Schizosaccharomyces pombe: one gene and its partners. Changing the gene in region 3 together with the main gene of any one other region gives a genetic interaction. Each region holds a gene or a part of one and is shown on either strand. Other genes may lie near its edges. The genes, in order: mag1, ppc1, hst4 and hst2.

What was found.
Region 1: mutations in hst4 (region 3) and mag1 impair growth when combined (synthetic growth defect), as found in Schizosaccharomyces pombe (one study listed by BioGRID).
Region 2: mutations in hst4 (region 3) and ppc1 impair growth when combined (synthetic growth defect), as found in Schizosaccharomyces pombe (one study listed by BioGRID).
Region 4: mutations in hst4 (region 3) and hst2 impair growth when combined (synthetic growth defect), as found in Schizosaccharomyces pombe (one study listed by BioGRID).

What each region holds. Positions count from the first base shown.
Region 1 is NC_003424.3:2,951,956-2,957,556, forward strand, and holds mag1 (DNA-3-methyladenine glycosylase Mag1), read right to left. Parts: upstream 2,910-5,601; 5' UTR 2,870-2,909; coding exon 2,183-2,869; 3' UTR 1,773-2,182; downstream 1-1,772. Other genes in the region: SPOM_SPAPB24D3.03 (agmatinase), read left to right, coding at 461-1,687; SPOM_SPAPB24D3.06C (uncharacterized protein), read right to left, coding at 4,109-5,059. UniProt on the Schizosaccharomyces pombe protein: Hydrolysis of the deoxyribose N-glycosidic bond to excise 3-methyladenine or 7-methyladenine from the damaged DNA polymer formed by alkylation lesions. Can release ethylated and propylated bases from DNA in addition to 3-methyladenine.
Region 2 is NC_003421.2:1,141,085-1,147,084, forward strand, and holds ppc1 (phosphopantothenate-cysteine ligase), read right to left. Parts: upstream 3,150-6,000; 5' UTR 2,958-3,149; coding exon 2,007-2,957; 3' UTR 1,532-2,006; downstream 1-1,531. Other genes in the region: cytochrome c oxidase biogenesis protein cmc2, read left to right, coding at 3,384-3,562, 3,625-3,715; ubiquinol cytochrome-c reductase assembly protein Cbp3, read right to left, coding at 3,972-4,823; TIP41 type 2a phosphatase regulator Tip41, read right to left, coding at 5,299-6,000.
Region 3 is NC_003424.3:2,190,710-2,196,672, forward strand, and holds hst4 (histone deacetylase, Sirtuin family, NAD-dependent Hst4), read right to left. Parts: upstream 2,907-5,963; 5' UTR 2,773-2,906; coding exon 2,580-2,772; exon of another isoform or gene 2,455-2,579; coding exon 1,400-2,454; 3' UTR 1,355-1,399; downstream 1-1,354. Other genes in the region: vps66 (acyltransferase), read right to left, coding at 1-12; CENP-P family protein Fta2, read left to right, coding at 299-1,354; CENP-A chaperone, CHD family Hrp1, read left to right, coding at 4,308-5,963. UniProt on the Schizosaccharomyces pombe protein: NAD-dependent histone deacetylase, which contributes to both telomeric and centromeric silencing, proper cell cycle progression, DNA damage control, recombination, and genomic maintenance.
Region 4 is NC_003421.2:1,326,074-1,332,456, reverse strand, and holds hst2 (histone deacetylase, Sirtuin family, NAD-dependent Hst2), read right to left. Parts: upstream 3,506-6,383; 5' UTR 3,360-3,505; coding exon 3,281-3,359; exon of another isoform or gene 3,279-3,280; intron 3,224-3,278; coding exon 2,847-3,223; exon of another isoform or gene 2,780-2,846; coding exon 2,237-2,779; 3' UTR 1,667-2,236; downstream 1-1,666. Other genes in the region: SPOM_SPCC132.03 (uncharacterized protein), read right to left, coding at 112-181, 248-471, 666-902; ribosome quality control complex subunit Rqc2, read left to right, coding at 4,150-4,281, 4,327-6,383. UniProt on the Schizosaccharomyces pombe protein: NAD-dependent histone deacetylase, which could function in telomeric silencing, cell cycle progression and chromosome stability.

The DNA of each region.
Region 1 (5,601 bases), 760 kb from region 3:
TTCCTAAAAAATTTCCTGAGACAATTGAACGTAGAAGCCCGTTTTTATATTGCTAATTAAGATGATGATCATCTTTCTAATGTACTGCTTAATCTATTGATTAAGTAAGTTCTATTTAAATTCTGGATAGGATAAGAGATTTCAATAAGCTATTACCCTTTTCATTTATCTTGTCGAGGTTCATCTCTATGAAATAAGAAACAATAAGGCTTTAGATTTCCGCCAAACCTATCGATAGCTTATTTTCCTAACCACCCCCCTATGCTTGCAGTAAAATTTATCGGCCATTTTTCTCCATGGACTCCGTTATACAGTACTTCTGCAATACAGGCGCCGATATTCGCCATAAAATGAGTTATACGATTAGTAGATTTTTGATATGATGGGCTTGTATTAGCCCTAAATTTGAAAGTATATAAAGGCCAGTTTCACTGTCTTAGAACCGTAGCTACAAGAAATTATGAAAAGTGTTGAATGGTTTACATGGGGAGTTTTTCTGCTACTTTCTGGCTTTGGAGAAGCTGGGAGGATGGGCTTGGGCTTTCAGGAGAAGAATCCAGTTTTCGTAAAGGAAAAACAATCACCATTCTATGCTGTACCTAGTAACTATGAGGAAGTAGAATTCTCAAGTATAGTCGAACCTATGTATTCAGGGATTGCGACGTTTGGTCGTTTGGAGAATGTTGAATGTTTGAGTAAAAGGTCAGAGGACTTTGATATTGCCTTTATAGGAATGCCTTTCGATACAGGCACTTCTTACCGCCCTGGTGCTCGATTTGGTCCAAGCAGTTTGCGTGAAGGATCTCGACGCATAAATACTAAATACGGTGCAGTGAATGTACCTCTTGAAATCAATCCTTTCAAATCATGGGCAAAGCTTGTGGATTGTGGAGATATTCCAGTCACCACGTATGATATTCTTAAAGCTATGGATCAGTTAGAAAGTGCATATTTCCAGCTAATAGCTCGAAAGCCCTCCAGTTTTACTGACCATGATGGATTTGCAAAAAATGATACTGTGCTTCCTCGAGTCCTTTCACTCGGTGGTGACCATACCATTGTCCTTCCCATCTTACGAGCTTTGCATCGTGTTTACGGACAACCTATTTCAGTTATTCATTTCGATAGCCACTTAGACACGTGGGCTCCTGGATTGATTGGCGATGGCGATGAAGCAGATGGAATAAACCATGGTTCTTATTTCTACTTTGCTAGTCAAGAAGGTATTATGAGCAAAGATGCCAACATTCATGCTGGCATTCGTACTCCTATCTCTAGTTTCTCTGACTACGATGATGATGTTGATTGTGGTTTCAAAATCATTGAGGCTCGTGAAATTGATGATTTGGGGATTGATGGTATCGTCAAAAAGATTCGTGACAGAGTTGGTGATAATTTGGTATATTTATCCATTGATATTGATGTGCTTGATCCTGCATTTGCACCCGCTACGGGTACTCCTGAAACTGGCGGTTGGTCATCTAGAGAAATGAGAGCAATTTTACGTGGTTTGCAAGGTCTGAAATTCGTAGGCGCTGACCTTGTCGAAGTAGCTCCCGCTTACGATGTTGCAGAAATAACATCCTTGGCTGGTGCGCAATTGTTATTTGACATTGTATCTATGATGGTGAAATATCCTTTGGTAAAAGAGGCTGATTTATCTCGTTACATGCCAATACATAAATAATTGAAATAACTGGTTTATTTAATATTCAATATTTATATCGACATCATAGATACAGATACAGAAATGAGCATGTTCAAAAAAAATCATTATTCATTATATTATTAACATATCATACGCAAGTATATCGTTAGAGACAGCTGAGCGTCATCTATCTTGTATCACATAAAGTAAAAGACAAATGTAGCAGAAACGGGTTTTCTTAACCACCCAAGAGTGTTTTGTAAATATTTGCAAATGAACCCATTAAAACATCTCATCTCCCTTTTGTTATTTTTGCCATCATTCACCAAAAAATCACTTCTTTTATATAAGCGTAATGTGACGAAAATGCTTCGTCTGAGTGGACGTAGACATTCTATTCAGAAATGATTGAAAAGATACTATAAATTGGTAAACCAAAAATAAAAAGAAGCGTACATAAAATGTAAAAGACCAACCAGGAATAAACTTATCGAATTCAACTTTTTACTTTTAAATATATAATACATCTGTCCTTCAGTGTTTCTTCGGCCTAACAGGCTTTGTATAATCGGCAAGTTTTGACGTTTTCCAGAGATACCATGCTGCTGCAGTACGAAAAGGTGCACATATTTCACTATGCTTAAGAACATACATCTTGGTTGGAATTTTTGGTAATCGGTGTAGATATCGGTATCCATTACGAATACTCAAATCGTCAGCTGGCATAACATCATCACGATTCAACGAAAAGATGAGTAACATTTCTACTGTCCATCTTCCGATTCCTTTAATCTGAGTAAGTCGTTCTATCAATTCTTCATTTGAGAGCCTTTCAGCTTCTTCTTTAGTAGGAATCAAACCGCTGATTGTTGCCTCAGCAATGCTTTTTAATGAATCAATTTTACGAGCTGAAAATCCACAGGCACGCATTATTTCAAAATCCATATCACGAATTTCCTCTGGTGTTGGAAATTGGCCATTGTTAGAAATACTTTTAAAGCGATTGAAAATTGCGTTAGCAGCTTTACTATGCAATTGTTGAGATGCTACCGCACGAATTAATTCTTCATAAGGCTCTTTTTTCTCCATACTTCGATTGGGTCGATAATTACCAACGAGCTTCACGAGCCGTTTCCAATTCTCATCCAATCCAGAAAGATGGATTTCTGCTTTTGTGAGTGAAGTGACTATCTCTTCTTTCTCTTCAATGTCCAAAGTCATAATAGCAAAGATTCAATTGATCAAAAATTTATCACTCATTATGTGCTTTTGACTAAACGGTAAGGGTTTTCATTCCTTAGGAATTGCACTGCAATTCGTTATTTATGTAAGCAAGTCCTAAGCTAAAAAAAAGGAATCTTGAAGCAAATTCAACATTCTTAGATGTAATTTGAAACTTCAATTAAATTTTCATCTGGATCGCGAAAATAAATAGAGAGGATAACTCCTTCAGCTCCAGCCCTTGTAATAGGACCTTCTTCTATGAGAACATTTTGCTTTTTTAAGTGAGCAATGACTTGCTCTAAGGGTGTTTTAGCTATTAGGCAAATATCATTTGACCCAGGAGTCAGTATGTGTGATTTTGGGTCAATCTCATTACCCTTTTGATGCAAGTTGATTTTTTATGACCGAAACCGAGTGCCTTGCGATTGTTTCCAAATGCGATAACCGACATTCCTAATGTGCGCTCATAGAACTCACAGGTGGCTTCTACGTCTTGGACAGTGAAAACAATATGGTGGAAACGATCAATTTATATAATATCTTTTTCCATTAGTTAGTATCAAAGATCTTTTATAGATGTAAAATGTTGTAAAGGAGAGTCAGAGGAAACTAACCACTTCCGTTAAACAAGTAACAACTCTTCGACCTTAGAGTATATGACAGATTAAAGAAATATTGGGCGTTCAATAAGGCATAAAATGGATAAAACGATGGAATAGCTATAAAGAAAGCATAGTGTTTTAAGAATTATTCATCCACCTTACTAAGCTTACTTTCTCTAATTAGCATTGACGTTGAACATAAAGAAGCTTTGCAGTTGTCTTCATAATACAATTGAAGTAACTATACGCCTTAATTTACAATGACAGAAGTATGGAGATGAATATTGTTATATAATCTTAACACGTATAAAATGGATAAATGCGCTATGAAGGGAATGGGATAAACATTAAGTCTTAATTTGTAAAACAGTAGATTAGTAACTGGAATTGTTCTCAATATACCTTTTATAGCATTTCAAAAGTAACTTCAAAGATAAAAAATATCACAAAAGTTATCAAACTCCAACTTTGAGGAAGCTTTTGATAGCTTAAGGGTATGCTTTTGAATTTAAAACATTACTTTTGTTAAATCTCCATTGCGAGATTTTGTCGAATATTTCATCCGGATCACAATTATCTAAACTGTTCTACGTGACTTTTAGCGCTAAAGTCATATTCTATGTATTACGAATCTTTATTGATCAATGAAGCTTCTTAAAGCCGTTATAAGTTGATTTATCAACCATTTCAAAGCTTCTGGTGAAGATTTTGGCCCGACATTATGTGTAGCTCCCGGTATGATGCCGCTTAAGGAACTATTAGAAGTTGTAGGACGAATTGATTCGCGAAATCGGTTCAGTAATTGTGCTTTATCAGTTGATGGCGAGACGAACTCGTCCCTTTCCGACATAAGCAGTATCAACTGACTATGTGCTGTGGAGCCGGAGATTTCTTTGAGATTACCAAAAGTTTTAGCGAAATCATCGGCGCTCAGGTCAGAGGAGAAAAAGTCATCATTTCCGCGGACATCTGTCAAGTCAATGCATCGATTTGCAGATGTCGGAACTTCACCAAAAAAATTCTCTACCTTGCTTCTAGGTAAAACATCATTTCCTAGTCCTTTGTCAAGATATTCTGCTTTAACCCAGTCAACCAATTCCTTTGTTTTTTCTTTCCCGTTAAATTGATACGCGGCTTCTCTATCCGATACTGGAGCTTGTGCTATTCCGGCGATTAAGTAGTTTGGAAGAATGGACTGTGTAAGATAGTATAGTACATTCTGCGATCCCGTGGAATGTCCCATCAAAACGATTTTGCGAGTAGAAAAGTCCGCGCCTCCAATGTGCAAAAAATAGTCCACTGCCTTGTGTAAATCCTCGTCATCTCGTTTCAAACTTCCCGTTCCCCATCCTATATACGAGGACTGAGTTTGAACCTGTACAATACTCCAACCAATTTCATCTAATGGATTGACCAGTTCTTGAACATATGGTACTGTCAAAAGACCATCGCCAAGTCCCCCGACAAATAACAATAATGATCGAGTTACGTTGGATGTAAGTGTAACGTTACTTTTTCCAACTAGCTCGAAAGCAACAAGCCTTTCTGTGTACTCATGGAGAATACCAGGATGCGAGGCTGACATCGTGCAATAAATAAAAGAATCAAATTTTTAGATGTTGAAAGTTGAATAATTTTCGCCTAACCTTACAAAGTAGATATTCATACGATGCTCAAATACGAGATATGAGCAAGGATTATATCTTATCCATTATCAGCAAAACAACAACTAAGCTCACTATTTTGATCGCGTGCTTTATAATATAATTACAATCCGGTTTACAATCAAGTTTAAGATATGATTATAGAAATCTCATATAGAAGGATTGAATTAGTAAATTTAGGTATTGAAGCTTGGAGTTGATTGTACAAAAGTTAATCAATTCAAGAGTTTAAGGCGTTCGAAACTATTTGCTTAGTATTTTCCAAAAATTATTGTTTATAGATCATTCAGCTACTATAAAGTACGAATTTTGCAATTCCTTCTTTTGCTTTTGCTTTATGTAGCTTTCCATAAACCACTATGGATTTCAAATAATGATGGTCGCAGTTGGAACGAATTCACAAACCCAGCTTGGTAAAATGATTAATGAGAAAGAGATATATCGCTCTAAATGAAAGTTGGAT
Region 2 (6,000 bases), on a different chromosome or scaffold from region 3:
GTAAAATTGTTTCAGTACCACTTTTCATTGAGATAATTTTATGAGATTTCTATAATGTCATCTGAAAGGCTAGTTAAATCAATAAATACGAATAAACATTTCAGCTGCAAGCATAAAAAAATTAAAAAAAGGCAAACCATGCAAATTATTTTTTGGAGCTTTAATATTCATCACATTTAAATAAACAAGGGGTCTTGCTTTAATTGGTCCGGGAAAAAATAAGCGACCTTATCAACTATATGTTTTTTTTGTTTATTTGTTTATTGAAGATTTAACAATATGCTTCAAGATAACCGTGGCGAACATAGCAAACGACTGAGACGATTGAACTTTGAGTGTTTTAATTTTGCCGTGACTTTAGTAAGCAATCGCGCATTTGCAATTCATTATTAAAAAGCATTTTGGGAATTAAAAAAGTGATTGTGATCACACTGTGAATTCCTGTTCTTTACAGAAAAAGATTGAAAAAAGTCATTGATGAATCATGATGCAAAACTTATAAACTAATTTATGGAAAAACTAATCGCTTCTATTTCTTACCTTGAACATTCACGATCTTTAAAATTTGTTGAATAATAAAGTGGTAAAGATAATCAGGTGGTTTAAGAGGAAGTTATAAGTATTTTTTTTTAACAGCTTGTGAATGATGTAATTGTTATCGACTTCCCAAGATTCTGCTACAAACGTTAGGCTTTTTTGGGATTTAATAAGAAACTTAGATGCTCGGTCACCTACTTGAGCAATTGCACGTTCAAAATCGTCAAGGTGAATACAGTTTTCCTAAATTTCGTTCTTAATGCAGCATCCTTAATAAACAAAATACGCTTGATCCAGAAAACCATTCTATCCAACGTAATTTAGAGCGATATCCCTTGATGCGGAATAATTTCCTTTTTAGCTTAAGAACCACGATTAATGAATGGTGCAATTCATCCAGAATGGAATCTTATGATTAACCGTCTTAACATGTCTCAATAGGAAGCAGAGGAACTGGATTATAAGTCATAGGTCAGTTTTATCGTAAAAACGTTTGCAGCTTTGTTCTATAGTTTTTTCCAGTTTTGTATAAAGAATTCTTTACATAAACTTGTGTTGTTTTACAAAAAGTGTCACAAACCGGGATCGAACCGATGACCAACAGATCTTCAGTCTGTCATGCTCCCAACTACACCATTGCGACTTCATATACATTAAAAACTACTAAAATATTTATAAAGAAAATTATTTACCAATGTCTGTAAAAGCCATAATAGCCTTTTTAAATATTTGTTTTATCCTCGACATTTTCGAGCTGCCAACCTTTGCATTCTGATTCTCTAACAGTTTTAAAAGTAATTGAAATCTCATAGGTTTTTCATTGAACTATATAACAATCGCCGTTGTTTGTGTACGTGAGCTTGCAATTAAACATGAGCATTTTAGTCATGGGGTTTGAAGCGACTCATAAGAAGTATGGGATCTCAAAAAGAACTGAAGGCTTTAGAAACAATCATATACGCTTACTACTTACAGGTACTCACTATTTATTTTTTGTTCATTCAAGATAACTGTTGCGCATTTTAAATTCAAGTCTTTGCTTTCTATATACTCCTGACATTGATTTTTATAAACTAATCATCATTTTTAATATATTCTTTAACACACTTCAGACCTGAGTAATCTACAACAGTAATAAGTATCTAAAAAAAAAGCTGCAATTTTTAAAAAATTACAACAGATCCAATAGTACACGATTCAATTCATAGCTCGTATTAGCAATTTATAAAGCCTTTCATTTTTTTCGTAAACCCCTCTACAAATGCTATAAAGCAACTTCGTAAAATAACAAGACGAAAATGATAGAGAAATAAAAAAGTACCACTGGTGTTTGCATAATAAACCCTAACAATATAAATGAGTAAAATGTTTAAAAGAAAAACCGATAGTTCATATAAGTTAAAGCAGATAAGAAACATAACTAGTACTTTTTATAAGTTCATAATCGACTAATCGTCAATAAACATAATTTAAGGTGCCTTTGCGAACTCTTGAATTCGTTCCTTGTGCAACGAAATTGCCCTCGAAACAATGTATTGCTCGATTTCTACCTTTTTTACAATGTCATCGTCGCTCAAATGAAGCCATTCAACCGTTTTTGAGGTTACAAACGCGACAGATCGTTTCCTTGTTGAAAGAAGGTTGGCGATCACCAGCTGGTGGTTATAACGTTGTAAAGCTACTCTTGCTTTATCAATCAGAATACTAGGGTCGGTTTCTAATTTAAAGGAAATAATAGAAGCTTCAGGAGCCCATGTGTCAACCAAGAAACGCAGAAATTTTGGAACCGGATGCATTTTGACTTCTAATTTGTTACTTCCAGAACCACTTTGAATTTTGTGCTCGCTCAATTCCTTCGGTGGAATATGGAAATCACTAACAGCAGCTGCTAAATAAAACAATGCTCTTGAAGCGATTATCTGTAAACGTTCAGCTATAGCTTTCAGGTACCACAAATATTCTGTGAGTGTAGTATAAGGAATCATTATCAGTCGATGATGTTTCGTATATGTATCTAATTCGTTGAGTGCATTGAATACTGTCGATTGAAACTCTTGTTTGACAATCCAAGGCTTCTCCTGACTGCCATTACTTCTTTCAAACAAATTTGTCCAGGGACCTTCATATCGTCGAGTAAATGGCATTAAACTATAATTTCTATACAGAAAAATGACCGAATATCCAGACTTGCAAAAGTATTCAGCAGATGCTGCACCACGATTTCCTGCACTAAAGTTATCGATAAAACGCACCGTATTTTGCTCAAGAGGCACAAGTGTGCCGCCACTAGTAACAAATGCAATGTTTTGGGAGTTTGATTGAAGGTTTATAAAATCTTCAATCAGACTTGAGACATCACCGAGTGAGTTAGGACAAGGATTCTCCTCAAAGAAATCGTTAGATTTATCCATTTCTGGCATATATTCTAAATAGCTAAGAGTATCGCAACCCAGAAATGCCTCTCTTACGATGAGCTCAAAAATAAACAAACGACGTTTAAAAAACTGTATGCGTTATTGCTGAATGATAGGACTAGAGAACTCACAAAATCTGAAATGCTAACCAAACAGTTCTCTAGCAGCTTGTAAATTCAGCAAGTAGTGGTCTGTTTATTGAACAATGTAGACGATAGCGACACCACAAACGACTGAAACGCGACACTTTGTGATTGTATTACACTTAAGGCCTTTTTTTTTTATTCAACTCGTGCTTGTCTTTTATGAAAAGCTAAAATTAAAATAAATTTTAAGTTTGTGTTTTAATCAACTTAAGACTAAAAATTTTCATTTATTTGCGCTCTGTTGGGTAACGTGGTTTAGTTACCAACATTTTACTGATTATCTAAAATGAATAAATCTCCAATTGAAGAGGAATTTGATCTTCGGAAACAGCACCAAAAGCTATTAAAAAAAAATTGCCAGAAAGAAATTGAAGATTTTGTGAAATGCGCTACTGGCAGGACTTTTAGCGTAACCTGGAAATGTAGAAGTGAAAATAAAACGATGAAGGATTGTTTAACCAAAGCGTAAGAAACTTATTCATCAATCATGTATAAAAAAGGATATGTAACTAATATGGAATATGCAGCGCAGACGAAATATCGGAGTGGCAGATCAGGTCGGAATACAATAAAGCTAAACAAGAAAGCTTTATCGGAAAGCAAGACGAAAAGAAGTAGCTAATTAATGCATCGATAATATCGGTATTAACTGCTATTAAAATACTAGTTCCAATACAACATAATGCTACGATTTCAATTAAATTGACAAACATTCTCTACTATAAAATATTTCAAAAGCTCCTCATTACTTTTCAATTTAACGTAATGGTAAAAGCTTTCAAAGTAATTATTTACAAAAAAGATTCATGGTTTTGCATAATAAACATGACCGTTCGTCAATTTATTAATCATTAGAGTAGCAATCATTTATTAATCAAATATTTGTTTGTGCACTTTCTTCAGGTGGGACGAAGTGTACTCCCTTCCCATTGATAAAGTCATCGGTTGATAAACATGACAGGCGATAAACATTGAGGCGAATAAATTTAACAATAGTCTCAAGAATTACTAAGTCGACGTCTGGGCGACCAACGAAAAGGTTACGCCAAACGGATGTAGCCAAAACAGCATCACTTCCCAGCATTCCTTGATCATAACCAAAAATGGCGCCGGTCTGTTGCTGAAACAGATCTTTCAGATACATACCAGAAATTCGATTGCTATTAATGCGGTAATCTTTATGAATTCTGAGTTCCATGTCTTCAAAGAAACGAGTAGTTAATGCCTGTGAAAAGGCAACTTTTTCATTTTTTGGCAAACCACGAATGCGAGTATGGAGGATCCACAAATGTAATTGCGTTATTTGAAACCAAGACTGAAATGTCATAGGAATTTCACACTTCTGGTACCAAAATTCAAAAGCACCTAGCGAGTTTTTTTCGGGGGTAGCTTGTCGAGCAGCCTCAAAATACATGTATCTTGCAGTACCAGTAGCCTCATAATATAAATTTTGTTTAGGAGAGATATATTTTTGATAAATAAGACTTATTTTCTTTAGAAAACTATTTGGCGGAGCCACTTTACGTGGATCTTGAGGAGGTGTAAGGGGTTTGTATCTGAGTTCTTCTACTGGGTCTCTTCTCTTCGTTTCCGAAGGTGAATGATTAATAACATTTATTGGAGAAAATGAAAATCTTCTTCTTAAGGGACCGTATATACTCTTCCCCCATACCGGCTGCTTAACAAATGCTGGTCTCAATGGCAAATTTAAACAGCAGCGACTCATTACTGAATGACGATAAGGATCTTTTGATAATCTTTTCTTAATTAATAAAATTAATTATTACCTGCAAATAAATACGTAGGAGTTGGGTTGAAATAAAAAACGGATCGATTAATGTCGTACAATATAAAGGGGAAGAGAGGTTGTGACAGGTTGATTGCCAAATACAATGTTATAACGAACGATCAATATTACGAGGCCATCATTCTTCCTAATTAAGTATACTCTAAAATTTACTGGACCATTTTAAATTTGTTTGCAGTTTCAGTAGTATATCTTCGCCGTTTAATCGTACCAAAGATTGTATCTATTTATTTTGCTTTCTCAATTAGAAAACCTAAATTAATAACCTCTTAGTTGAAAATGATTATAAATATTACCATGAACTAAACGTAATAAACTTGTAAATTGCTTCAACACTCATTCGTTGACAAAAGTTCTAAATTCTCATGTCTGCCATTAGCGAATCATTTTAGCATCAAAAATTCAATTTATAGATTTTATGGTCAACGGTATCAAGGCGCTCACTTAACCAATTGTTATCATCTAGCAATGCAGCTTTGTCTCCCCCCACAGGTATTTGTTTAATAATTTTGTCGTAAGTAGCTTGCTTTTTACGGCAGTCCTTCAAGAGAAAATCATTCAACAAATCAATATATATCCTCGTCTCATTCAATCGAACATTTACCTTGTCTAAACGTACGACAAGGCGTGCTAACAATATTAAATGACCCTGAACAACTCGAGCTCTCACATCAAACATTGATTTTCCATTATCTGCTAACTCATCTTCGAAAAGAATTATCTCATTGAACCATAAATTTTGTCCTGCGTTAAGTATTTTTTGAACAGGTATTACCTGATCAATTTCAATGAATTTTGCATTTGGACGTTGTATAGTTCCCTGATAATCAGTATAATAAGTCCAATCAAATGGGTAAATCACAGGGTATTCTTCTCCGGGCTTAATTCTGGATTTGGCCCAGTCTTTTGCAAAAGAAACTTGCATTACATCTTCAGGTTTGGTACCAACCATTTTAAGAGCATCTTCAGTAAAAAATCCAACTACAGGCTGATTCTTGTATTCAATTGAGATGTAATTATTCCCAAAGGTCATCTCAGGAGGTGGAAAACCCAATGTACTTTGAAGGTTCTCCATCTCATGGCTTTTTAAAATTGA
Region 3 (5,963 bases):
AAATTTCTCCATTTCACAATGAAAATGATAAAATATTACAAATATTATTTTTAGTAGAGTAATATGGATTTCAGTCGTAAAAATGAAGTAGTGATTTCAAAGTGGTAGCTACTAAGATTCACTTCTAGGTTTAAGTGTTGCTTTGACCATGACTATATACTATATGCATTTGTTCCACCATTTGAGGATTTTGGATTTTTCATTAATGTTGCATAAAAAGTATTAAAACACTTTTGCACGAGCATTGTTAATTGTAGTAATACTGATACTATTATCGCGTACGACTATAAATATCAAAATGTCCGGTAGGCGATATAGTCAAATTTCTCAACAAGAAGGATCTAGCAGTAGTGATGATAGTGATTCGCAACAAAAAAAGACAAAACGTACTGTTGCTCACCGAAGCCCAAATACTACTTTAAATGGCATGCCTCGCGTAGATTCACGAGCGAGGCCTAATGAAAACAGTGGACAATCCAAATCTAGCAACGGAAGAGTAGACACTGACAGAAAAATGGATCTTTTGCGCAAAAGGAGTAACCTTGTACATCAAACCCTGCTTCTTGAGAAAGAGGTGAGGGTTAGACGAAATGCAATTAACCAACGCGACGATTCGTTTTTAAGCGGATTTATAAAATCATTATTAGAGATTGATTCCTCTGTAGTAATTTATAATACCGAAAACCCTGATAATCCTAAAACAAAGCAAGTTATGCCATCTGCTGAACCCAAAAAACATGTTAAATTGAATTCGTCCATATCATCCATTCGTTTCACACAACATGAATTTGAAGCGGAATCCGAGAAAATCATTCATCATTCTCTTAAAGGAGATATAGAATATCTCCCAAGCTTCAAATTTTTACTAGAAATTAAGGTCCGAACAATCGATTATGCTCTTTTATTTATTACTTATAAAATCCCGCATTTTGCTAGAAAAGAGCTCAGTAGTTTTTCGGACTCTGCAATACAATGTCTCGATATAGTAGCTCTTTTGAGAGCGTTCTCATTATTTGCCCACCATTACTCATATCGCTGCAATACGTGGTTTTATTTATCAAAGCATATGAAAAAAGTGGCATCAGCAAACATGGACGCTCAATGTTTCTATGTTCAAAATTCCTTTTACAAAATTACAATACTTTATGAGATAAAATTTGATGATCTTGGTTTTGTACAACCTAATTACTGCATCTCTTATATACTAAAGAATCAAAATGAAAAAATTGTAAGCATCACATCAAAGTTGCTTAATCAATTAGACAAACGTTTTTCGGAATTTGTATCGCTTTTCGGATTCAGAGAAGGTTCACTACTATTATTACAGGCATTATTTAAACCTCATTTGGGGTAAGAAGGATAAATTGATATTTTTAACATGGTTTATTGAAGCTAAATGTTAAAGCGGAGAAGGGGTTGCATATTCAACTTCTTGTTTAATTTCCACCTTGGGTATTTCAATACTATTGAGCACTTGGTGCAACTGAAAAGAAGTGTTATCTTTCTTAGAACTATCATTGCTTTTCGTGTTCAAGCCAATAGCTTTCGTAATTTTAGTGGAAGAAGTAATCTTTGTTTGTTCGGAAGATTTTTGTTTTGAAGTTCTTTTGGCAGAATGGGACTTGAGTTTCCAACTTGGAGCATCTAATAAAGGCTTCAGACGTCTAATAGCAATTTGAAGGTCTCCTTGTACAACCAGGTCGCATAAGTTCAAAAAATCTTTCGTAGGTTCGTCATAATTCAACCAAATAACATTTCCCTTCTGTTTATGCACACAGTTGCTCATTTCCTTGATAATTCTTTTGACACCAGGGATTTTACAAGAAGTACCAGCAACAATTAGACAGTCAGGGCGGGACTTTAAATCTTGTGAACAGACCGAACCAATAGATTCGGAATCCGGATGTATCTCATTGTACAAAACAATCCGAGGACGAAGGCAACCCTCGATAACTGATCTTTTTCCTGCTATACGACGAACCTCGTTCTCGGTTTTACAGTCAGGGCAAACAGTAACACCATTTCTATCAAATATATCTGGATTAAATTTTTTCAAAAAGCTGCACCTTGTGCAACTTACAACTTCCAGTGTCCCGTGAAGAGGAATCGTGGTAGGCCAAGGGGCAGACTGCGGCAATGGAATACATGTTTGAAGGCCCTCGAGTCTGGTTTCTAAAAAATCAATATTTTGTGTGTATAAACGTAACAGCTTAGATTCTTGGGCTAGTTGAGATAAAAATAAATGGAAATCAGTGGGGCGTGCATTATTAGAAAGCATATGTAGCTTTCTAATCATTGCGTGAAAGATGTTAACACTCTTAAGATCTCTGTAAACAGATCCATCAAACAATTCCTTCCCGGAGCAGTTCAATTTATACTCCGCACGAAGGGAGGAGAAAAGACCCTCAGAGGAACGGAAATCAGGAATTCCAGCATCACAAGAAATTCCAGCACCTGTTTAAACGTATTAGTAAATGAGCCTTTGTACGATTATAATATTTAATTTTTTTTTTAATCCCACTTTTTTTTTAAGTGAAAAGTTAAAATAAAAGAAGGAAAACCATAAATAAGCAACATACCAGTAACAACGACTATGCGCTTTGCCTTGCGAATGGCAGAAACTAAAGGAGATAAATCGACATTTTCATTGCCTGTATGAAGTCTAAGTGGAAGCTTGGAAAGTAATTGCTGCCTTTTCGAAGCATTTTCAGAAGATTGGCATTTTCTCTTCCTCGACTCCTGTATTAGAGGGACGTGCTCCTCCACTTTCATACTAAGCTACGTAAATTTGGAATTTTTTAAATCCAAAAAGTTGAGTGCATTAATTAAAATATATTAAAATCATTGAACTCTTCGACTTCTTCCTAAAATGGAATGGTTGAGGAATTAAGTTGTGATTGACGGTTAGGCGGTTGTGTCTACGTACGTTTCGAAAGGCCGTTGAAGGACAATTATATCGCTTGAAAGACTCAATTTCGCCATGTCTTTGTATAACAGTAATCGCAATTTTTTTCTCTATTCACTTTTAAAAATGCCGTTGAACCAATGTTTATTTAGAGTACTGATTTTTTTGTTTTTACCCATTTAATAAAATGTTCAGACTAGAAAATCAGCTTTCATGCTGACATTAATAAAAAGAATAAAATTAAGTCTTCAATAATCCTTCTGAGATTTCTCCTTCTATCAATATATAAATTGTCTAAATAGTCAAATGAAATAAATAAATATATACAGAAACTGGTAATAAAAATATTAAAACAAAAAGGGATTGCAAAAATTTAAAAAAACAATTGAAGTTCCATTTTCTTAAATATTGGGAAAACTTTCAAGAGTTTTAAGTACAGTATTTTTCCTTGACATTTAATTGAAAAAGTTGGAAGGTGAAGTCTTTCATAAAATTCTCAAAAAAATAACAAAACCAATAAATATATCTTTGAATCTTTGGTAAAATATCCATGCAGTTAAAAAAATTTAGTAAAACCAATCGGTCAAATTTTTAATTAGTTTATTTCTTTCAGAAACTATTGTTTTCTCTGTCTCGATTCCCCTCTCAATTGTAATTAAAGAAGTAAATAAATACATTATGTTTTCATGAACAATTGAAACAAAGAAGCATACGTTTATGTGAAAAGTTTCGACGTTTTTGTGTAAACTATTTAACGTTATGGGATAGTAAACAATAAAATATATAGAAATTTTTTGAAATTAATGATCTTTAAATTTAATAAAAGCATGCGAACTGAAGCATTTTATGAAATACGAATTTGCCTTCACGTTTTGCACAGTTAATTTGAAAATGAAATAAAATCTGCAGACTTGCTCGGAAATACGAACCGGAAATGAAAATTGTAAGCTAACTTAATTTCCATGGAGTGAATGAGAATAGCTCGTACATTTTATGGCAAAGGATTTTTTTGTTTGTAAAGGTCTTGCATTTTCGCAAAAATTGAGAGTGGAAATTGCATGAGTAAAAATAGTGAATCCTTCTCAAAAGGTAAATTTTATTAATAAAAAGGGACTCTGGAGAAGTAATTTGATACCAAAATCACCTGCATTGCCTGGCATTTCATTTATAGTGTTGCATATTTTTGCACTATTAATTTCTGCCAACAACATAGTAATTTCAATTAATAGCCTTATAGGCATACTGCTTATTCCTATTAATCCTTTGTTGCTTCACTGTTAATATCCAGATATATATTTAAAAAAAAGCATTTTAAGCTTTTAAAAGAGAGTCTGCAAAGGAGCGCCTACTTTGTGGACGTTCTCAACATTTAACATTATATAAATTTTCTGGAGTAACAAGAATGGAGCCTGAACATTCGAATTATGATTTAAAAAATCATCCTACGAGCGTTCAAGAGTCTACTTTAAATGGCTCTGCAGTAACTGATCCTCAGTTTGGAAATACAACAAATTCTCTACCTAGCATGAATGGCCTGTTAAATCATGAAAATTCTTTCGCTTCGCAGCAATCTTTATCGTCTTCTGCCTTTGATGATTCTGAAATCGTAACCAGCACTGCTAATAGCACAGTTGTATCTTCTGCTTTGTCTACCCCTAAAATTGACGATGCGCAAAACTCTGACGATGTTAGAGTAGATGGTACAAGACGTTCTTCAAGGGCTAAACGACCCGTTTATCGTGATTTCTCTTATACTGAAATTGACGAGCATGAAATTCCGATTCCTAAAAAACGAAAGAGCAAACCTGCACCAAAGCAAAAAAAGTCTGTGGCTAGCGATGATGAAGACGCATATGATAAGAGACATAGATTCAGTATTAACTCTGCTTCCGGAACCGAAATCCGTACTTCATTGCGATCTTCAAAAGGTAAAAGCGTCAACTACAATGAACAAGAATTTTACGACGACTTCGAGGACGAAGAAGAGGAAGTAGAAGAACAGGTCGAAGAGGAATATGAGCCTATTATTGATTTCGTTTTAAATCACCGAAAGCGAGCGGATGCACAAGACGATGACCCGAAGTCTAGCTATCAGTATTTAATTAAATGGCAGGAAGTTTCCCATCTTCATAATACTTGGGAAGATTATTCTACGCTTTCTTCTGTGAGGGGCTACAAAAAAGTCGACAATTATATAAAGCAAAACATCATTTATGATCGCGAGATTCGTGAAGATCCAACTACAACCTTTGAAGATATCGAAGCTCTGGATATTGAACGCGAACGTAAAAATATGCTTTTTGAAGAGTATAAAATTGTCGAACGCATAGTAGCTTCTGAAACTAACGAAGAAGGAAAAACAGAATACTTTGTAAAGTGGAGGCAGCTTCCTTATGATAATTGCACATGGGAAGATGCCGACGTAATTTATTCTATGGCACCAAATGAAGTTTATCAATTCTTGCAACGTGAAAACAGTCCGTATCTCCCTTATAAAGGTGTTTTCTATAACACCCGTCCCCCGTACCGCAAGTTAGAAAAGCAACCATCTTACATTAAAGGGGGGGAAATCCGTGATTTTCAACTTACTGGTATAAACTGGATGGCATATTTATGGCACCGGAATGAAAATGGTATTTTAGCAGATGAAATGGGTTTGGGTAAAACCGTGCAAACTGTGTGCTTTTTATCTTATTTAGTCCATTCTTTAAAACAACACGGTCCTTTCCTTATTGTCGTACCGCTTTCCACTGTTCCGGCTTGGCAAGAAACATTGGCCAATTGGACACCTGATTTGAATAGTATTTGCTATACAGGTAATACGGAATCTCGTGCTAATATTAGAGAGTATGAATTCTACCTTTCTACGAATTCTCGCAAGCTTAAATTTAACATTCTACTTACGACCTATGAGTATATATTGAAAGATAAGCAAGAACTCAACAATATTCGCTGGCAATATCTTGCTATCGATGAAGCTCATCGACTCAAAAACAGTGAATCATCTTTATACGAGACCTTATCTCAATTTCGGACTGCCAATAGATTATTAATAACA
Region 4 (6,383 bases), on a different chromosome or scaffold from region 3:
CAAAGGAAACGTGCCATTGTCATATAAAAGAAAAATCATCCAAATACTTTATATTCTCACAACGCAAGTGGCATTTACAATGCGAAGTTGAAAAGAAAAATGAATTCCCTACTAGAAATGGAAAGGGGATTGTAGAGGTGCATTTTCTATAATTGGAGAATCCCGTTGAACGTCGGTTAGACTAAAATGTTAATACAGATGGAAATTTTACTACATTGAACCTCTCATATATGATATGTTTACGTACAAAGATAGATTGGTGTCAATTTCCAATTTTCTCATAGTTCTTCTTTTCTTATTTTTTGCAAGTAGCTCCAACAACTTCTTTTTCATTTTTTTCTCGGAAATGCTCCAACCCATCTTTAATAATGTATTGTGCACAGATCGTAGAACTGGCTCAGGAGGGGCCCATAAACATATAGGGCCCATGGGAGTACAGGTTATGGGTTTTTGAAGTTCATTCTCATAGCACTAACAGAAATAGTTGATTAGTAAATTGGGTTATTTTGTAATGTTTTTGCATAACGAAGGGATCTTTGTAAATCGAATTGAGAGATTTAACATGTTTTCACCTCAAAATTCGCCACTTTTAATTGTGCAAAAAAGGAGGGATGCAGCCAAGTTTGCTTCTCCTTCCTTAATTCTTTTCAGCATCTTTGTCATACCATTAGCAAAATGGATTCTTGTTGTTCTGACCAGTCGTCTAAGTTCAAATCATCTATTGATTCAATGCAATCTTTTTTCAATCCTACGCCATTTGAAACGTGTGAGTCATTTTCCTTAAAGACAAAATTTAATGGTGTCTTAGGAGGCATGCTTCCATTTAAACAACGAAACGGCATTGTGTCGTAAGCATCAGTCAAATCCTCAGGACCGGTGATCCTCAATCGCTTGGGGTTCATTGTTATAATGTGTAAATTTCCAATTCTTTTGTTCAGAGGATCCTCAACGAAAGGAATCAAGATAAAGATTACAAATGAACTTTTATTAACTACTGTAAAAAAGTGAGTAGTTCTTAAAATGATAAGAATTGATCAATTGCAACGATAACACGATTTATCATTCCCTTTTATTTTTAAATTCTTTCCAGACCGCTTAACACGCCTGTATAAAAAGATGGCAAAACAAAGAAATTGAGACCTAAGATCCCTATTGACGTCAAATCTAAAAACGTTAATTATAAATCATATATCTGGCTTTCGAACAATTATTTATTTGCTAAGCATTCATATAGATCAAATTCATGAATCTTGTATAGCTAGGTAGAAGGAAGCGTTAGAATCGGTAAATTCTTAGCAAACCGAACAGGAGGTGACAGCCATGTAGTCAGTAATTCGTACAACTCATAAGTTACCCAAAGGTACATAGATATATGCAGATAAAATAGATATAAATTTAATAATTGTTCTAAAATTAACTGATAATTGTTCAAGCGCTTAGATACTTGTTTTCTGTAATATGAATTATGTCTTTACATCTCTAGTTCATTTTATGAACAATAATGACCACAAGAACAAAATTCAAATCAGAACTGGTTATGATGATGGACTAACTGGTTTATACACCGTCCCCTGTTACAATATACAATTCGTAGAAAACGCTTTAGTTTTTCAAAGGAAGCATTATTCTTGAATGAAACTACAAAAAGAACAATTTGATTAATTATTCCTATTTCCAATTCTTGGATAATTCAAAGTTTTATTAAATGAAAATGAATAATCTCCCATTTCAGAACTATATGTTCCAAACTGAACAGAAAAAAGGTTTCGACAAAGATTGTATTAGATTACAGTGCAGTAAATTTGAAACCATTATCAATTATTCTAGCGCAACTTTCTCATAACCCAAATTGCGTATATAGATGGACGCCAATTTTAAAAAAAATGCAAGTTATTTTCACGAAAATGCGAGGGCATCTTCATGAGTTTGATCGAGATCGTATACAGAACCCCCTTTTTGTTATCCTTTTCGCATTAGTTTAACCCAGCATACAACTCATAAAGAGAGCAATATGATTCATGGTTAAGAGGCAATCAAAAGGACGCCTGGAAGGAAATATTATAAAATTGCTGAAATAAAAAAAAGTATTTAAACTTGTTTAAAAGAAAACGAATCGTATGTGTAGATTCAAATATTCATCAAACCGAATCGTGAATTTCCGTTTTCTTAGTATAATAAATATAGGGATCTCCTAGTTTTAATCATGACAATATAGAAAATTTCCCGAATAACTGAACTATTCATCATCAGAAACTAACAGCGTCACCTCGTCTTTTTTCTTCTCCTCTATTTTAGTGAAAGGATTGACCGAGTTATCGTCTTTCTTTTGTTCAGAGGCATTCTTTTCTATTGTAGAGTCAACAGAAAGTAAAGATATTTCTTCTGTCAGCGTTTCAACACTCGTATCAATCAACTTTTCCAATTCATCAGACCATCCTAATAGTTTACATAACGCACGTACTTGGGAATCACAATCCCCCAATATCATGATATCCTTTTTTCTCTCCCCAAAGTCGCCAGCTGGTTCTCGATTAATCAAAACTCGTTGACATTTATTTGGCACTATTTCAGGCAAATCCGCGAATGGATGAACAAGTAAACTTGTTCCAATTACCAGTGCCATATCACAGACTTTTGTGTCCTTTTCCATGTGCTCGAAGAAACGCATTGGTAATCCCTCGCCATAAAACACAATCATTGGTTTGATGAGACCTTTGCAACTGTTGCATTTAGGGACCTGTTTTTGCATAATACATGCTCTAACATACTCCGTTTCCGCCTTTGTTTTCCGTCAGTAAAACCAATTTCTGCTTTTTCACTTTAACTTTTTCAAAAACAATCCTTACCATTTCGTAACATTCAATACAGCGGCTGTATTGGAAAGAGCCATGTGCTTCAATCAGAGCTTTGTCAGGCACACCTGCCAAACGCTCCAAGGTATCAATATTTTGGGTATAACATTTTTGTAGTAACCTTTTATCATGTAAAAGGCGTATAAAATAATGAGTATAAGTTGGTCTATACTTTTCAGGCATCAATTCGTGAGCCAATTCGTAGAATGGACGCGGATTTTTTCGAAAATAAGATAGATCAAAAACAGCTTCTGCGTAAGGAAGATTAAATCTTTGTAAATTATTGTAAATTCCAGTCTCAGGGCTTCGAAAATCAGGGATTCCTGCTGCAGTGCTGATCCCTGCACCAACCATAACACATATTTTCTTTACTATTTTCGATAAAATCGCATTAGTATGGTCAAGGAAAGAAAATTAAAAGTCATTACCTTTTCCTTCTTTGATTAAGGATGCAACTTTCTCTAAATGCTTGGAAGAGTCGACGTGTTTAACAGTGTTTTTCACCATTGTCGAATTTCTGAGAACAACCAAAGCAAGCCAATAATCGATTTACCTTAAAAATCCCAACTCAAACTCTTTCAAAAATTGGATCACTTAAAATTCTCAGATATGAACAAATCAATATGTTAATGCACAAAGTTTGTGGGTACGCCAAATTTCCATTATTATTTACTCGTTGAAAATATCAAACGCCATTACCGATGCTCCATTAAACTGCATTATACTGTTTAAAAGGCTATTGTATTCGACTTTAGTACTCGTTATTTGGTAAACATTTAGAGCCATCTTTTTCAATTAAGAGTTTCTGGATGTCGTTGAAAAAATGAGATACGGGGTAATCAGAAATTATGATTAATCAACTTTCGGCTCACTTGATTAGATTCAGCAACGATAACTCTTGACTTTCTGGTTTTACTTATTGGGTTGGTCACACCAGTTTGACATATTAGGTGTCAAAGTTTTTTATAAGTTTATCATTAGTTAACTATTTTTTATCTTTATAATCAGTGTCATGTACGACTATAAATGTACGATTAAAGAATCATCGTCGGGAAAGAAATAATGAATTTGAGAGAACAATCCAAATTTGCGCTAAGAATTTTAATGCTGCTAATGTACACCGTTTTATGGTGCAATGGTGTGCTATAATTTTCCTTATTACATATTGCGGATATCATTGCGCTTTGTTAGTGCTTCAGTTTCACTTACGTTATACACATGTTTACATTCTAACTAGAGCCTATACTTCATTTTGTTGTAACGCAGAAATTCATTTAGATAGGTGTTATAGACGTAAATGAAGCAAAGATTTTCCGCTTTAGATATTGCTGCGATTGCTGCGGAATTACGAGAACAAGTGGTTGGGTGTCGCTTGAATAACTTTTATGATCTAAATGCGCGTACCTTCTTGTTGAAGTTTGGTAAACAAGTATGTGTAGAAAGTAATAAATATTTTTTTACTAACCCGTTAAAGGATGCAAAATATTCTATTGTTATTGAAAGTGGGTTTCGTGCTCATTTAACAAAATTTGATCGAGAAAATGCCCCTTTGTCTGGGTTTGTAACGAAGCTACGAAAACATATAAAATCTAGAAGGTTAACTGGTGTCTCTCAGTTGGGTACTGATCGAGTACTCGTTTTCACATTTGGAGGTGGTGCGAATGATCAAGACCCCGATTGGACGTACTATCTGGTTTGTGAATTTTTCGCTGCTGGAAATGTTTTACTATTAGACGGCCATTACAAGATTCTGTCTCTTTTACGAGTGGTCACCTTCGATAAAGACCAAGTTTATGCCGTAGGGCAAAAGTACAATTTAGACAAAAATAATCTCGTTAATGACAATAAATCTCAGTCTACTATTCCTCATATGACAGCTGAACGATTAAATATCCTTTTGGATGAAATAAGCACTGCTTATGCTTCTCCTACTTCTATTAACGAACCTTTACCTGACCAACAACTATCCTCTTCTACAAAGCCGATTAAAGTACCCAAACCAGTTTCTCTTAGAAAAGCATTGACTATAAGATTAGGTGAATATGGTAATGCACTTATAGAGCACTGTCTTCGGCGTTCAAAATTAGATCCACTATTCCCTGCTTGCCAGCTCTGTGCAGACGAAACCAAGAAAAACGATTTATTAGCTGCTTTTCAAGAAGCCGACTCCATATTAGCTGCAGTTAATAAGCCCCCAGTAAAGGGTTATATATTTTCACTGGAGCAAGCACTAACAAATGCTGCTGATCCTCAACACCCTGAAGAATGTACTACATTATACGAAGATTTTCACCCTTTTCAGCCTTTACAGCTCGTTCAGGCAAACAGAAAGTGCATGGAGTTTCCAACCTATAACGAATGCGTTGACGAGTTTTTCTCTTCTATCGAAGCACAAAAGCTAAAAAAACGAGCACATGATCGCCTAGCGACAGCTGAGCGAAGGCTTGAATCGGCTAAAGAGGATCAAGCACGAAAACTTCAAAGTTTACAAGATGCCCAAGCTACTTGTGCGTTGAGGGCTCAGGCAATTGAGATGAACCCTGAACTTGTTGAGGCTATTATCTCATACATTAACTCTCTGTTGAACCAAGGAATGGATTGGTTAGATATTGAAAAGTTAATTCAATCTCAAAAAAGAAGAAGTCCGGTAGCTGCTGCTATTCAAATTCCCCTTAAACTTATAAAAAACGCCGTTACCGTTTTTCTTCCTAATCCAGAGTCTGTAGATAATTCTGATGAAAGTTCAGAAACCAGCGATGATGATTTGGATGATTCTGATGATGATAATAAAGTGAAGGAAGGAAAAGTTTCGTCAAAGTTTATTGCCGTTGAATTGGATTTATCTCTTGGCGCCTTTGCAAATGCGCGTAAACAGTATGAATTACGTCGAGAAGCTTTAATTAAAGAAACAAAGACTGCGGAGGCAGCCTCAAAAGCCCTGAAAAGCACCCAACGCAAGATTGAACAGGATTTGAAGCGCTCTACTACTGCAGATACACAACGTATTCTCCTTGGTAGAAAGACATTCTTTTTTGAAAAGTTTCATTGGTTTATTTCTTCGGAAGGTTATCTAGTTCTGGGAGGCCGTGATGCCCAGCAAAATGAATTACTTTTCCAAAAGTATTGCAACACAGGTGATATCTTTGTTTGTGCAGATTTGCCAAAGTCTTCGATAATTATTGTAAAAAACAAAAATCCTCATGATCCTATTCCCCCTAATACTCTACAACAAGCTGGATCCTTGGCTTTGGCTTCATCTAAAGCATGGGATTCAAAGACCGTAATCAGTGCATGGTGGGTTCGAATTGATGAGGTATCGAAACTTGCTCCAACAGGTGAAATTCTTCCAACAGGAAGTTTTGCTATTCGGGCCAAAAAAAACTATTTACCTCCTACTGTCCTCATTATGGGATATGGAATATTATGGCAGTTAGATGAAAAAAGTTCTGAGCGTCGCAAAGCTAGAAGGTTAGAAATGGAGGTTGTTGAAACTCAAGGAAAGGTGTCGGAACTTAAAATGGAAGGTACTTC